Linked DNA regions of Arabidopsis thaliana. The protein of the gene in region 2 purifies or fractionates together with the protein of the main gene of each other region. This does not show direct contact. Each region holds a gene or a part of one and is shown on either strand. Other genes may lie near its edges.

The links.
Region 1: the proteins of HMGA (region 2) and AT4G31360 fractionate together in Arabidopsis thaliana (co-fractionation; one large-scale study listed by BioGRID). This does not show direct contact.

What each region holds. Positions count from the first base shown.
Region 1 is NC_003075.7:15,217,852-15,226,291, reverse strand, and holds AT4G31360 (selenium binding protein), read right to left. Parts: upstream 4,450-8,440; 5' UTR 4,348-4,449; coding exon 4,025-4,347; intron 3,616-4,024; coding exon 3,519-3,615; intron 3,382-3,518; coding exon 3,322-3,381; intron 3,063-3,321; coding exon 2,982-3,062; 3' UTR 2,665-2,981; downstream 1-2,664. Other genes in the region: FLA5 (FASCICLIN-like arabinogalactan protein 5 precursor), read left to right, coding at 1,618-2,454; AT4G31355 (uncharacterized protein), read left to right, coding at 6,470-6,595; AT4G31354 (uncharacterized protein), read right to left, coding at 6,947-7,144; AT4G31351 (uncharacterized protein), read right to left, coding at 8,408-8,440.
Region 2 is NC_003070.9:5,135,714-5,144,106, forward strand, and holds HMGA (high mobility group A), read right to left. Parts: upstream 3,755-8,393; 5' UTR 3,641-3,754; coding exon 3,557-3,640; intron 3,483-3,556; coding exon 2,952-3,482; 3' UTR 2,403-2,951; downstream 1-2,402. Other genes in the region: AT1G14890 (Plant invertase/pectin methylesterase inhibitor superfamily protein), read left to right, coding at 1,332-1,991; AT1G14910 (ENTH/ANTH/VHS superfamily protein), read right to left, coding at 4,215-4,952, 5,088-5,203, 5,292-5,370, 5,459-5,641, 5,732-5,812, 5,903-5,983, 6,058-6,123, 6,214-6,279 and 7 more. UniProt on the Arabidopsis thaliana protein: Binds A/T-rich DNA with a highly dynamic distribution into the nucleus.

The DNA.
Region 1 (8,440 bases), on a different chromosome or scaffold from region 2:
TACTGTTTTATAATTCAAAAGCATAATTAACGTAGGCATGTAGCCATTTTTTGGGTTCAATCTCGTTAGTGTGAACATTATTTTCGTCACTTTGTTCTAAAAAGTATCTTAAGACTATAATATTACGATTTAGTTGTTTTAAAATAGAGATAAAGGTCAAATGAGCCCGAACTTCTTAATTATTAGAAATGAAAACGGTGTAAAAAATATTATTAGTTGTTGTATTCGTATTTCGTAGGTTAACAAAGAGAATATGAACTCCGAGTTGCCAATTCGAATAATTGGTATAAAGCTGAAACTCTTAAATATTCGTTCGTTTCTACATATTATTATATACATATGAGTCATGAGTGCTTAAAAGACCAGTCGAACATATAATCGACAAATGAAAACGTGTTATACAATGTTAGATAGAAATATAATAGTAAGAATATAATTGATTATACATTCTTTTTTGGATGATAATTGATACCTAAGAAGCTTCTTATAAATGCGATATCAACTGTGACAATCTCTTTGACGTAATCCGTCGTTTACATGGTTTATATATGATATATACTGAAATTATACAAATTGACGTTCATCTACTTTTTTTTTTTTTTTTTTTTTGTGATTCACTCTTTAATTTTATTTACCTTTTTAAGAACATTTATCATTATTTGCAAACTCCAACTAATTTATATTTTGCTCTATAGTTCTGAGGCAAATTATTTACAAACATGAATATCGATGTCCAAAATATCATAATAAATTGATGCTTTTAAGTTGTAGCAAAAAAAATAAAAATATATGTTTTACCATCCACACTCAAAGTCGTTAAGCTAGCTTTTCCATCAAATGATGATATTTAGTTTAGAAATTAATGAACATGCGGCATTAACTGTGAAAACCTCTTTGACGTAATTCATTAATTAAATTTTTCGAAAACGAAATATAATGTGAACATAGCATGCAATTGACGTTTAGTTATTACTTGTCATTTTCACGGGGCTATAGACAGTTTCTATTCTAAATTCTAAATTTCTTTGTTACTCTTATTCAAAAGTATTTTAGCTTTCTCAGAATACTTATCTTTTTCTAATCATAATTTATCATTTCTTATTTATATTTACTCTGGTTTCCAAAAACTAAATATCGATGTGCCAATTATCATACAAAAAATTGATGATATTAATAAGTAGATGAGTAGTAATTTTTTTAGCAAAAATAAAAATTACTAGTGTTTAATTATTCATGTTAAGAGTCTTTTAGGTTATCTTTTCCATCAACTTTAGAAATCATTAACTAAAACTTCATCAGATTGTAAACAAAACAACTATAATTTTGTTACAATGATAAATTCATCTAATAAACATGCAAGTTCCATCATTATAATTTTAGTTCCTTTCGCACAGAAGAAAACTTTTTCAATTAACATAAAAAAACTTGTTAAAACGCAATTTAGCCATCAAATAATTAAATTCTCAATGGCCAAGTCTTACTATACTCTAAAAATAGCAGAGTAGACTTAGCTCACCAAAAGACTAATTCAGATTTAATACCAAAAACAGAGAAAATCTCTCCTTTTAAACCCACTCTTCGCCCTTGAGGTTTAGCAAAGAGAACACACGACACGAGATGGGTCTCAAAGCCTCCCTTTCTCTCCTCTCCCTCACCATCTTACTCGTCTTCTCTAAGGTCGTTACGGCGAATAACATCACGCTGGCCTTTCAGAAATACTCCAAATTCAGCACCATGAGGGACCTCTTCATCAAGACCAAGCTCATTGCAGCCATCGACAAATACCAGACGATAACCGTGCTTGCTGTTAGCAATGACGCTATCAGCTCCATCACTAACAGATCCGAAGTTGAGCTCAGGAACATCCTCATGACTCATGTTATTCTTGACTACTACGATGAGCTTAAGCTTCAGGGGATGAGGGAGAAGAGTATAATGCTTACTACCTTATACCAAACCACCGGGTTGGGTGAACAGATGAATGGTTTCTTGAACGTTTCCAAATCAAAAGGAAGAGTTTACTTTGGATCGGAAGTGAAGAACTCTCCTTTAAACGCTGAGTATGTCTCGACGGTGTACCACAATCCATATAACCTCTCTATCATCCAGATTACCATGCCAATAGTGGCTCCTGGACTCAGCCTTGCAATTTTCCCACCTCCACCACCATACGTTCATGTAGCTCCATATCCAACTCCCATGGATGCTTCAGTGGTTCCAGCTCCAGGACCAGCTGCTGATGACAATTCCCCAGATTCTGCTGTCCCAAAAACTCCACCTGCACCTGCAACAGACACACCAGAGGCTGATTCTCCAGCTCCTGCTCCAAGCGCCGATAATGAGAAGATTGAAGCTGCTGATAAGGCTAAACCATCTTCTTCTGCTTCTAAGGCTGGTTGGAGCTTTGATGTTATTCTCTTGTTAGCATTTTTGGCTAGCTTTGCTGGGTTCTAAGATTCGGGTGATGTGGGTTAAAGACAATAATGGTAGGTGAGATTCAAAACAATTTTTCTGTAGCTTTTAGCCAAGAAGAGAGACACGGCCATTGGAAGTGAAAGAAACCTAAATGTAATGAGCTTTCTACTCATCATGCATTGTATTTATCAGCCATTTTGAATGCAAATGTGATGTTTGTCCTATTGATTTTGTAACACAGTTCTAATTGTGTTAGAACATGCTTTAACCAGTGCATAGATTGTTAGAACCATGCATGGTCCCAACAACAAAAAACACTTATGCATCGGTTTGCTTCAAGCAACGAGATGAATAATAAACTAGCCTTACAAATACGAGTTAACCCCAAAAACTACAGAGATCCTTCTCTATCAACTAATCATGCATTGCCAAACGACGAGACTGCACTTACAGTGCTCATACCGAAACAATAAAAGTGAACCTAACAAATCTGACATTACTCTAGAAAGTCTTCTGCAGAAACCTAATTGATTAAACTGAGACCGAGGCAGAAACAAAGAACAGATTCATTTGACTTTCTTTATGATGTCCTCGATGACTTCTTCCATATCAAGTGCCTTCATTGGTGCAAATGGACGTTTCATCTCCTACAAAATGAGATAAACATAATCTACATCTTTAGGTCTATGTTAAGATTGAAAGGCAAAAACATATTCATGATTTCTACTCACAATAACACATTTCTCGTAATGAATAAGGATCAAGTTGATTTTCATTCTCATATGCATATAGAGCAAGTGGTGTTATGAGAATTAGTAATAACAATAAACCTTACTCAAACTGAACAAATCATATGCAGAAGCGAGACAAATTGAGATTTGTTTTTATTAGAATGAAAGTTTTTACCAAAAGACTGATGAATGTTTGGCCACCTTCCTCCCGGATCTCAAAGCAACCCCGCCTTGGCTGTTCAAGCACATCAAAAGAAAGAATTAGTAATTTAGAAGAAAATCTTATCAAGTATAATGTGAAAAGTATGCTCTAACGCATTAGTCAAAACGGAGCATTCATGACGATATATTCATCTGCAGTAAAAGCATTACCTTTTCAGGATTAAGAGACACCGTGACGCCAGGAACAGCTCCCTCCAAAGCTTCCTTCACCTGAATAGCTCTTGTCTTGAAAGCATTGCATTGTTTACTTCAATAACATCACAAAACAAAACAAAAAAGAACTCTTGTGAGACATAAGTATAGAAGCAAATTCCATTTATAGAATGAACACGTCCATTACGCATTGCAATTCAGCTAAAGCAAGACAAGAACACAAACAGAAAGCAGATAGTCAAGTCCTCTTCACAAATGCGAGCAAAACATAAACCACTAATCACTCAAACCAAAAACTTATGCAGAATCAAGATGAAAACCTAACACATTGTTCCACCCTAGCAAATAAACCTTAGCTGCTACACACGGACACACAAGTCTCAACACATACCCCAAAGTTGTAGGCTTTTAGATTCAATTTCAAAGAAAAAAACCTAAATTTTTGCTCTTATGATTCCAAACATTATCTCTAAAGAAATCGAAAACATTTACGCAAAAATTACCAGTGTTCTATAACAATCTTGGTTCTCGTAGGGTCCTCAACCTCTGGCTCTTCCTTCTCAACCTCCTCCTCAACGGCTTCCTCTGGCTCTTCAACTTCCTCTTCCTTCTTTCCCTTCTTGGCTCTCCCAGTCTCAATCGCTGAATTCTTCCTCTTAGCCTTCTTCGTCGCCGGCTTAGTGGCGGATCCAGCCGCTTTAGCACCGTTTTGTTGAGTCTGACTTCGAGTTCGACTGTCCATGCTCCGAGTCACTCTAGACGACGCCAACGTCGTTAAAGGTTTCGCCTTTTCTTCTCCATCTGCCTTACTCTTCTTCGGCGGCATTGTACGGACAGCAACAGGGTTTCGTCTTAACAATCTTCTTCTCCTTCTTCTCCGTCTCTGTCTTACCGCTCTTTCTTACTTTTTTGTTGTTTGATATTCCCTTTTGTGTTTGCTTTTTTCTTACCTTGGAAAAGTAATTCGAATAAACGGTAGAGATTTAACCTACAAGGGTTATTAAAAGGTTGACCGTTAGATTGCAGGGGTTATGATTATGTATTCTCAATGCCCAATAGTGCGCTACTGCTGTATCACACGACACATCCACGTGCTTCGAAACGCTGTGGTGTTTTGCCTCTAAAACGCACAACTACTTACCGTTTTGATTGGATAGAATGATTTTATTTTAATTCCACTTCTCTTTTTTACCTACATTATTTTGATTCCAATTCATTTGGCTTTTTCTAAACTCAAAATAAACTGAAACACTTTATCATATTTATTAAGAAATATTGATTTTCTGATACATAAAGTAAGATAAAAGTCTGTATATCCTTCTAGCTTTTTAGCATTTTGGTCACTGCGGACAATTTTAAGAGATTTTACTAAAAGTATCGTCCAATCCTTTTGTAGGTTTTTATGACTCAAGCCATCAATCCAAATTTCCAATATATGATGATAGTTGAAGTATTTGGATGTAGTAATGCTAAAATGTAATATGTTAATAAGTCGCATACTCATGGTGAACAAACATTCATCCATTATGGTGACATTTTTGTTTGTTTGTTTGTATAATAAAATGCAGGGGGAAGCTTTTGCAACAATGTGTGCATGTTGGAGAAATCTCAGTTAGCACTTTCACAACCAAGCTCCATGGGAAGATCTTTTGGACCTAAATATTTTAGAACTTGTTCATCACATCACAACCATCATCTTCAGTCTTCACTGTTACTCTATTTGTCTGTCTTTCACATATTAGCAAGTTGGTGAAATCTTGATTGGTTGATCCTGATCCCATAACAAATTACACTAATCTCACACAACGACGAACCCTCTTACAAGGTTGGTAGCATGCTAAACGTATGGAAAAATTTGGGAATCTTTTCTAAAAAAATAAGAAACTTGTATATATTTTTTTTCAACACAAACTTGTATTCTAAATCTACATAACGATGTAAAAACAAGTTGAATTTGTGGAATCGCTAACTATCAATGACGGGATCCAAAACCGGTTATTCAACATCGTCTTGTAAATTTATTATCCAAATTTCCATTGTTTAAAATCTGGTCTTGTAAATTTATTATCCAAACATAACCCAACATCGTCCATTATTATCCAACTCTGTCTAAACACTGAAACAAGAAACCGAACATGATCCATATGTCTAGAGATTTTTGAACTGTGGGTACCAAAGAAGGATCAATGTTCTAATCTCAAGTCTCAATCTAAAGTTTGAAGTCGTGGGTACCATTTTTCATCAACCAAAACATAAGCCAATCCAATCCAATCTTTTGTCTAAAGGATTGGTTACTTCGAACCTCAAGTCTCTGACTATTTTAAGCCGTGGGTAACTTGATCTTTGTCTAAAGACTGACACAAGAGACCGAACATGATCCATATGTCTAAAGATATTCAAGCCGTGGGTACCAAAAGAATCAATGTTGGAATCTCAAGTTTCAGTTCACTCGAAAGACTAAAGTTTAAAGCCGTGGGTACCATTTTCCTTGCACCAAACATAACCAAATCCAATCTTTTTGACAAAAGATTGGTTACTTTCGAACCTCGAGTCTCTGTCTAAAGACATAATGTTTTAAGCCGTGGGTATTCTTTTGTCTAAAGATTGAAACAAGACACCGAACATGATCCATATGTGTAGTGAGTTTCAAGTCGAGGGTACCAAGAAGGATCAACAGAAACTTGTATTATAAATCTACTTAACGATGGGAAGACAAGCTGAATTTTTGGAATCGCTAACGATCAATGATGGGATCCAAAATCCGGTTAGTTTAACATCGTCTTGTAAGTTTATTATCCAAATTTCCATTGTTTAAAATTATAAGTCTCTGTCTAATGACTTATAATGTTTTAAGCCGTGAGTGTTTCTTTATCTAAAGATTGAAACAAGAAACTGAACATGATCCATTTGTCTAGTGATTTTCAAGCCGTGTGTACCAAGAAGGATCAATGTCGAATCTCAAGTCTCAGACTAAGTTTGAAGCCGTGGGTACCATTTTCCGTGCACCAAACATAACCCAATCCAATCTTTTGTCTAAAGGATTGGTTACTTCGAACCTCAAGTCTCTGTCTTAAGACTTTCTTAAGCCGTGGGTAACTTGATCTTTGTCTAAAGACTGAAACAAGAAACCGAACATGATCCATATGTCTAGAGATTTTAAAGTCGTGGCTAACAAGAAGGATCAATGTTCACTCTCAAGTCTTAATCTTAATACCAAAGTTTGAAGCCGTGGGTACCATCTTCCTTCCACCAAACATAAGCCAATCCAATCTTTTGTCTAAAGAATTGGTTATTTTGAACCTCAAGTCTCTGTGTAAAGACTTTTTTAAGCCGTGGGTAATATGATTTTTGTCTAAAAACTGACACAAGAAACCGAACATGATCCATATGTCTAGATATTTTCAAGCCGAGGGTACCAAGAAGGATCAATGTTCAGTCTCTAGTCTCAGTCTAAAGACTAAGTTGGAAGCCGTGGGTACCATCTTCTTTCCACCAAACATAACCCAATCCAATTTTTTGTTTAAAGGATTGGTTACTTCGAACCCCATGTCTCTGTCTAAAGACTGTTTTAAGCCGTGAGTAACTTGATCATTGTCTAAAAAGTGAAACAAGAAACCGAACATGATCCATATGTCTAGATATTTTCAAGCCGAGGGTACCAAGAAGGATCAATGTTCAGTCTCAAGTCTCAATCTAAAGACTAAAGTTTGAAGCCGTGGGTACCATTTACCATCCACCAAACATAACCCAATCCAATCTTTTGTCTAAAGAATTGGTTATATTGAACCTCAAGTCTCTGTGTAAAGACTTTTTTAAGCCGTGGGTAACTTGATTTTTGTCTAAAAACTGACACAAGAAACCAAACATGATCCATATGTCTAGATATTTTCAAGCCGAGGGTACCTAGAAGGATCAATGTTCAGTCTCAAGTCTCAGTCTAAAGACTAAGTTAGAAGCCGTGGGTACCATCTTCCTTCCACCAAACATAACCCAATCCAATCTTTTGTCTAAAGAATTGGTTACTTCGAACCCCATGTCTCTGTCTAAAGACTGTTTTAAGCCGTGAGTAACTTGATCATTGTCTAAAAAGTGAAACAAGAAACCGAACATGATCCATATGTCTAGATATTTTCAAGCCGAGGGTACCAAGCAGGATCAATGTTCTGTCTCAAGTCTCAATCTAGAGACTAAAATTTGAAGCCGTGGGTACCATTTACCTTCCACCAAACATAACCCAATCCAATCTTTTGTCTAAAGAATTGGTTATATTGAACCTCAAGTCTCTGTGTAAAGACTTTTTTAAGCCATGGGTAACTTGATTTTTGTCTAAAAACTGAGACAAGAAACCGAACATAATCCATATATCTAGATATTTTCAAGCCGAGAGTACCAAGAAGGATCAATGTTCAGTCTCAAGTCTCAGTCTAAAGACTAAGTTAGAAGCCGTGGGTACCATCTTCCTTCCACCAAACATAACCCAATCCAATCTTTTGTCTAAAGAATTGGTTACTTCGAACCCCATGTCTCTGTCTAAAGACTGTTTTAAGCCGTGAGTAACTTGATCATTGTCTAAAAAGTGAAACAAGAAACCGAACATGATCCATATGTCTAGATATTTTCAAGCCGAGGGTACCAAGAAGGATCAATGTTCAGTCTCAAGTCTCAATCTAAAGACTAAAGTTTGAAGCCGTGGGTACCATTTACCATCCACCAAACATAACCCAATCCAATCTTTTGTCTAAAGAATTGGTTATATTGAACCTCAAGTCTCTGTGTAAAGACTTTTTTAAGCCGTGGGTAACTTGATTTTTGTCTAAAAACTGACACAAGAAACCAAACATGATCCATATGTCTAGATATTTTCAAGCCGAGGGTACCTAGAAGGATCAATGTTCAGTCTCAAGTCTCAGTCTAAAGAC
Region 2 (8,393 bases):
AGGTATGATTCGAGGAATTTAACAAATATTTCGTTGGAAAAAAACAACCAAATAGTTTTTCTTCTTCTTTTCATTGTCTTTTTCTGGTAACCAAAAAGTTTTGGAATTTACAGAAAATTCTTGTTTTGATATGATTAATATTAATATTTGAAGTGAAAAATTCTATTATAATGATTAATGCATAGTTAAAAAATTTACTAAGATATGAAGGCTTCAAATTCAATCATATACATATTTGGTAATCATATATGAATATTACTAATATTGATTTTTATTACTAACCAAGCATATAATATATGTTAACACATAACATGAATGAGAATGGTTTAAACGTTACTAATCAAATCCTATGTATGTAATAAATAATAATATATTTAGTCGGCTACCTCCCCACTATAGTCTATAAACTATATAGTACACACTCATTTTTTTCTAAAAGTGGCATTTTAAGTGGACTTTTCTTCTTAAGAAGCATGGTGTGGATCGTTTACTAAAACGATCATGTCATCATTTTCTTCTCTTTCATATATAGCATTAGATCAGAACGCTACAATTTTTCTAATAAAATTCCAAATTATATTGATACTCTCTAGGGTTCCTAGTTCTACAAAGTAAGTTCAAAAATTCAAACAATTCGAGTCATATATTTGTCTCTTGAATCTTGATATAACAGATTCAACACTAAAAATGAGTAAAATCTAAAAAAGGTGTCTATTTAGAAAGAGGAAAAAAAAGACATTGTTATTCAATGAGTTGGAGCATTTTGAGAAAACTATTAGTACAATGTTAATAATCACGCGTGCAGATATTTTCTTCTCGGATAATTTACTTTTATTTAGCAGAATTATTGATTGTAGGCGAATCTCCACATACTCCATCCATAACTTGGTGAGTCCCATCATAGTATTCACCGTACGATCCTTTCGTGGTCGATATTGCAACTGAGGAGTAATGTCCACCCAAAATCTCACTTGCGACCCATACCTAGTTCAACATTTGTGTTCATACTCGACATTTATAAACAAAAGTGCATACAAAATATAGTTATAAAAATGAAGTGTTATGGATATTTTTTTAACCGTTGATATGTTATGAACATATTTTCTTATAAAATTTAAATATATATGGGATAGATAACCATAAAGAATGCAGTTCCTTTTAAGGTACGGCTAAGATAGTGAATCTACCAAGCCTTCCTTTTCACACCAACTATGGATAAAATACACCCGACAAAATGATTAGTGGCCATAATGTGATTATAATGAGCATGAATGGGCAAACATGTCACATTTCTCCATTACTCAATGTCTACATAAACCCTCCAATCTCACATGTTAACTCGAAACAAAGAAGAAATAAACAGAGTAAAAAACTTAAAGCTTAAAATGGGGAGGCAGCTTTATACGACGACGGTTCTCTACTTAGTCACCCTACTCTTCATTTGCCGGACAATCTCAGCCGTCCGTTTCCCTCCGGAACAACCAACAACCGATGATCTAGATTTCATCCGTACGAGCTGCAACACAACGCTGTATCCAGACGTATGTTACACGTCTCTAGCTGGATACGCCTCCGCCGTCCAAGATAATCCGGCAAGGCTAGCTAAACTCGCAATCGGCGTTTCTCTCTCCCGCGCAAAATACACGGCGGCTTACCTCTCCAAACTCTCACGTCGCGCTGCCTCAGCTGCTGTCCACGACTGCGTTTCGAACGTGGGAGATGCCGTGGATCAGATGCGTGGCTCCCTAAGGCAGCTCCGAGAGATGAACCACCGTCGTCCCGGAGATCCGGCGTTTAGGTTTCAGATGAGTAACGTGCAGACGTGGATGAGCGCGGCGTTGACGGACGAGGAGACGTGTACGGATGGGGTCACGGAGGAGATGGAAGACGGAGAGACGAAGACGGCTATTTGCGATAGAGTCGCCGACGTCAAGAGGTTCACGAGTAATGCGCTCGCTCTCGTTAATACCTACGCCAACAATGGAGCCTAACTAACTAAGCTAGGTCTTGAAATTCCTAAAGTTATAAAAACACTTGTATATATATATGTGTTAAGTTGTGTGCTTAGTTTATAATGTGTATTCGAGGCTTTGAAACCGAGTTAGAACTCTGAGTTTGGGTGTTCAAATTATACATTAATCTATGTTTGATTGTATTAATATTAATATATGTCATATGTGTTTATATGGTGTGTGCTATATGAGTAATGAAGATAATTATACATGGTTTTGATGAGTAAATTTGATACATGAACCTGGTTTTTTTTTTTTTTTTTTTTTCTTTGATGAATTTGGATATGATATGGATGAATTTTGGCCATCATGTCTAAGGGGAACTGAAACCCGTGAGATGATTAGAACATCTGACTATGACCCCAAAGTTTGTCTATTAGTGGCCCACTCTAAAATCTTTACGAAAACAAGGTTTTGTCCTTTTTGTTCACGGGGATGCCAAAAAGCTTCCATACTCTGTTCACAGTTTCTATTTCAATCCCTATTGATAATGATTACACACATTCGCTTCACAGATTTTTCTAATTGAATTCCCTTTGAAATTTTCAACTCCCGCGCTGATTCCACAGTGATTCTTTCTTCTGCTAACTGTAGCATAATTAAATTAGTGACAATAATGAATGTTTAGCATTACCAATTACATAGTTTTCCCCTCATTATTAAGTGTGAAAATGAAATCAAAGCAGCAATAATTGTTCAACAAGAGAACAAAGTTTCACATAACACAATGCAGTAATAATAATAATACACAGTCGCTAATGTTATATCTTATCTCAGGACTAAGCAACAACACACACACAAATTCTAAAGTTTACAATCCAAATACTGAAAGAAATCCAAATAAATCTAATTAAGCTAAATTAAAGCACTCTCTTACTCTCTAAGAGATTCCATTTTTCAGTAACTAAAGATTCCGAAATTGCATAAGTACCGATTAATTCAGCACCCAACCGGAGCAACCACCGTCGGCTTCACCTTCGGAGGTCTCCCACGTCCCCTACGCTCACCTGTCGCCTGAGCTGCCGGTTCCGGCGCAGCAACCGTCTCCGAATCTGTTCTCGGTCTCTTCGGTGGTCGTCCTCGTGGCCTTCCAGATCCGGTAATGACCTTCTCCTGGGGAGGCTCCGATGGATCTTTCGGCTTCGGTGGACGGCCACGAGATCTAGGCGGATCTGTAGAGACGACGGTGGCAGCAACAACAGCAGCAGCAGCGGCGTCAGATTCGGCCTGAGTCTTCTGCTTCGGAGGACGGCCACGACCACGCTTAGGAGGAGCATCTGGATCTGGTTTCATATAATTGTTCTTCACCATGATTAGCTGACCGGTTTTCTTCATCTGGTTGAGATGGTAGCTGAGCAGCGTCATGTGTGACGGCGGTAGAGTTTGTTGAGTCGACTCGATGTGCTTAGCAATCGTCGTTTTGTTGCAGCCGTTCTTATCGTTCAAGGACTCAATCGCTTCCATTATCATCTAAACACAAATTTCAACCAAAATTTCAGAAACTAAATTGAGAGAGATTGAGAGATTTTAGGGGTGTACTTCACCTGAGGATAAGGTGGGAGAGAAAACGACGGAAGTTCTGATGAATGCGTATCTGAAGCTGAGCCATGGTGGAGATCGAAGGCCATGTCAAGCGTAGAGAGTGTGTGAGGTGATGAAGGAAGGAATCTGTGTGAGGAGGGATTTTAAAAAGCAATTTGGGAAAGTGGTTTTCTCATTATTCTCATATTAACTTGTAGTGTTGATCTGACGGTTGGGGTTTTCAAACTTACGGGTTGATCCAACGGCTCTGAGTTTATAGCAGCTTTCTCGAGCAGGATTACTGACGTGGACATATGGGAATGACTTCTGCTGACTATTACCCTTAAATTACCTAATTCTCCTCCAATCTTCCTTTTTTATTCAACGAATGGCCATTGGTTCAGCCTAGCTGGATTACTAGAACAGAAAACGACATACTACGTAGCGTTTTTGCTAATCATATTTCAAATTATTTTGTTAATGTAACACAATGAGTTATATATATCTTTCATTTTTTTTCCACCAATGAAAATTCATTTATATAATCAATCCCGAGGAGTCTTTCTCTATTAGCAGAACAAGATTTGCAAGACTAGAAGATGATGTGATTTTATTACTACTCACAAACAATAGAATCATATGAGACAAATAAAGCATTTTGAGAAATATACGAAGATGGGATCACAAGAAGCCCGTGCTGCCGAAGGGGTTGTTGCTGTTATGTTGCTCATGAGCACCTGCGTTTACCGGGAACTCCCCAAAACCCGTGGTGTTTTGCGGTTCTGAAACCGGGACTACTGGAAATTCCCCCAAACCGGTGGTCTTTGACGGTTCTGATACCGGGATTACTGGTAATGCCCCAAACCCAGTGGTGTTTTGTGGTGCTGAAACCGACACTACTGGAAATTCCCCAAAACCGGTGGTGTTTGATGGTTCTGAAGCCGGGGTTACTGGTAATGCCCCAAACCCAGTGATGTTTTGTGGTTCTGAAACCGGCACCACTGGAAATTCCCCAAACGCGGTGGTGTTTGGCGGTTCTGTAACCGGGACTACTGGAATCTCCCCAAAGCCGGTGGTGTTTGACGGCTCTGAAACCGGTACTGGAAATGCCCCAAAACTGGTGGTGCTTTGTGGTTCTGAAACCGGAACTATTGGAAACTCCCCAAAATCACCAAAAGGATTTGCAGGGCTGGGTGCAACCTGTAGCTGTGGCTGCTGCTCTTGTTGATGATAGGTTGGCTCATAGAGACCGAATGGGTTGTTTACGGCTGAAGGCGGTGAAACACTGTCTGAAAATGCAAACAGGTCTTGGACCTCAAACGGATTGGAAGCTGGGACGCCATAGGCAGGCTGTTGGGCTGCTCTCAAGGCTCCATCGTCATATAGACTGTTCAGGGTGAGCGTGTCTAATCCACCCGCCTTGCATTTGTTGCAGAAAAAAATGTTAATGATTCAGAAGCCACAAAATCAATTCCCCAGAGGTGACATACGTTAACAGGACAATGGTACGTAATTGATGCATCCCATTATCACTAATACAAGAATACATCTTACCAGCTGTCTCTCTGTGGCTGCAGATATATCATTGCTAGGTGTTGTGACCAACGCAAGCTCCCATCCTGACGGATCCAAATCTCTTGCTTGCCCAAAACTAAACGGCGAAGAATCAACTGGAAACAGAAACATAACCAGAATTGCGACTAAAGACAAGCAAGAAAGGCAAACTTAGAGCTCCAGTACATAGACCAAGAAGCTCACCATCATTGGAAACTAAGGCCAAAGCTAGTGCATTTTGGTCCAGGATTGCTAACGGATCAGGTGTATCATCATGCAGACCCTGTGTGTAATACTGAGAGAATCAGAGACAAAAGGATAACAATGACAGAATAAAGAAATCAAGACCATATGTAATAAGCATAATTTACCAATAGATCATCAGTATCAATGAAGTTCTGTGGAGTTTCTACTGAAGGAGGAGACTGGGAAGAAAGTTGCGTTTCTTCAGAGGGAACAACGGCACTATCTGAAGGCGATGATGTTTCATGTTCTTCATGTGAAGGTCCAACATCTTCAGAAGTAAGACCATCATCAGGCGTATAGGTCAGAAGCTGTATGTTGACAAAGTTTTTAGAAATAAGTTATAAAAGAAAAATCATGGTTTCTGTAGGAGTAGGACCACAATGAGAGTATATATGTACCAGTGGCCCAGATGTGACGTCGACCATCTGAGGTGCGTCTCTCATATATTCCTCCATTGTTGTAAGAAAAGATTGTGGAGGCTTGAAAAAAACAAAAATAGACTTATTTAGTATTGATAAAGTACCTGCCATCACAAATTTAAATGTAACAAACAAGTTATTATCTGATACCTCTCTTAAAACAGGAAACTGGAAATTCCTTGCAAGTTCTAATCCTTTGCATACTTCATAGAAGGCAGAAAGGTTGCCAGCCTGCATTGATAAACTAACCCTTGTTAAGTGAAATCTAAATTGATCTAACAGAGAAAATAACCCAACAACATTACCTGCAAACCCGCACGCTTGTATATTTCAAGGGCCTTGATGGCCTCATGTCTTGGCATTTCAAAGAACTGCAATATATGCATGTATAAAACAGTAAGAAATCAAAAAACACATGAAGGGAGAGAGTAACTCTGGGGGAAAAGAAAAAACTGGCCTACCTTCTCTACTAGATTGATAATTCCTTCATTGATGGCACAATACACTTTAAAACTCTCCTTCAATACCTGCATACACAATTTACAATAAGATCTCAGAGCTTAAATCAAGCTGTTCTTTCCAGATAGTATATATTTGACACAACACTAAGAACTAGCGGATATATGTAAATTATGCCCCCGAGTTTAGTTTAATGTACCAGGGAGAGTGCATATTGAATGATATGATTGTGCTTAGCAGCACCTTCTGGCTGAAAAAGTCGAAAGAGCAAAGTCAGTTCATACGTCAGGAAAAGCTTCTCCAACTTAATAGAAAATAATACGGGATTTACAAAACATAGTGCACGACTCGGGAAATGACATCAAAGAAGCACCTTACAACCAATGAGACGATGCAGAAGCTGTTGTAAAGCTGGCAACTGTTCCAAGAGTTTTTCACCATCTAAATCCCTTGTTTTGCTATACCCCTGTTCATTTCCAAAATCGAATACCCTCAGGAAGGAAAGGAGATAATATAAGGCCAGAAAACCAAGTAAAACGCAAATTTGATACCTTCTCCTGCCCTGGGGAAACTTTTGGAAGACGTTCAGCCTCGATGTCATATTTCAGAACCCTGAAGCATTCAAGCCGTTCCTCAAGAAACAACGCATAAGTGCGTACCCACCCTGAACAATCCCATGCTGTAAGCAAGCATAAAGCAAATACCATATCAACAATAACTCTATGCAGAAACCTTGAATGAACCTCATTTGCTTCTAAAAACACATAGACCCGTGAATGTAGCAGTAAGGACTCACCGACTGGGCTAGAGTCATCCTTGAAATTAGAAATTTGCATAATGCGTCCTTTTTGCGAAAAATTCAATAGCTCCTCTCTAAATGTCGGATCACCATCCCTCAGAAGCCGGTGTATAACTAGCAGTGCTTTTAATGCAACCTGTTGAAGCAAAACACACAATAAAATAGCCAACAGAAAGAATGAGAAACCTAACCAAAGCTATCTACACCAATTTGAAACAATGACTGAATCGATCCTCAGAATTTCACACCCTAAAACATACAGAGGATGAAAGTGAACACATCTAATCATACTAAACGCTGCAAATTACTATAATCACTATCTTCCCTAAAAGATTCAGATCATAATCCGAGAAAGAGCAAATCAATTACCGTCCAATTTCTGGTTTTGTGTAATCGTCGGGAGAGAGCATGAATGCAGTAAGCAACATCTGCTCGAGGCCTAATCGCTGACGTTGCGAGGAAAATTTCTGTAACAATTCACAGAGAATAAGATATTTAGAAAAACAATAAACAAATACAAATCTAAAAACTCTGCAAAAAAACAAGTGAGAAGCAATCACTTACTCCTGAGATGACGATCTTTGGGAGGACACTCGACATGGTTAGTAGCCTTCACTATGGCAACATCTAATTCCTGTAAATTAGAAGATCAAAACTCGAATCTATGAGTGATTCACCTTCGGTGGTCTAAGATATATAAAACTATTCGATCGAAATGCTGAAAAAATCAAAGCAAATCGAAATCGAAAGGAGCGTACGGCGTAATCGCTATTGACTCGGACAAGGCCGACTTTGGTGGTGTCTTTTAAGGCTCCGTAAGCTCTTCGCCATGACTGTAGCGTTCCCATTGGAGACTAAGCGAAAAACCGTTCAGATCTCTCTCTCTCGAATCTTCTTCTCAGATATTATTTTTCCCCGAGAAAGAAACGCAGAGACTGAGAAGAAAGAGGAAGAAAACAAATGAGACGCAGATTTGGATTCGTCTCATTCTTATATTTCTTTCCTTAATTCGCGACTAATTGCTTTTTGATTTGTATTTACTCTTTTTATTCATTTTTAACTCTCTTTTTATCCTCTTTTTTTTACTTCTTCATCATTCTTTTTTGTCGGTTTTCACTTTTATTTTGTTTTTGGCTAAGATCAAGTGTAACTTTTTTTAGTTAAAGCAGATAAGTGTAACATTCTTATAAAAGTTACGATTATTCATCTTGGTACTTAGACGTATGAGTCAATGATTTTCTTTAAATAATGATGAGAAGAAGAAAAAAAAGTGATTCTTAAATTAATTTAGACGCAAAGCATGTCGCTGCAAATACATAAGAGTGAGACTATTATTTGACTCGATTCTGAATCGAATCCACGGACCCTTTCATTGTTCTTATG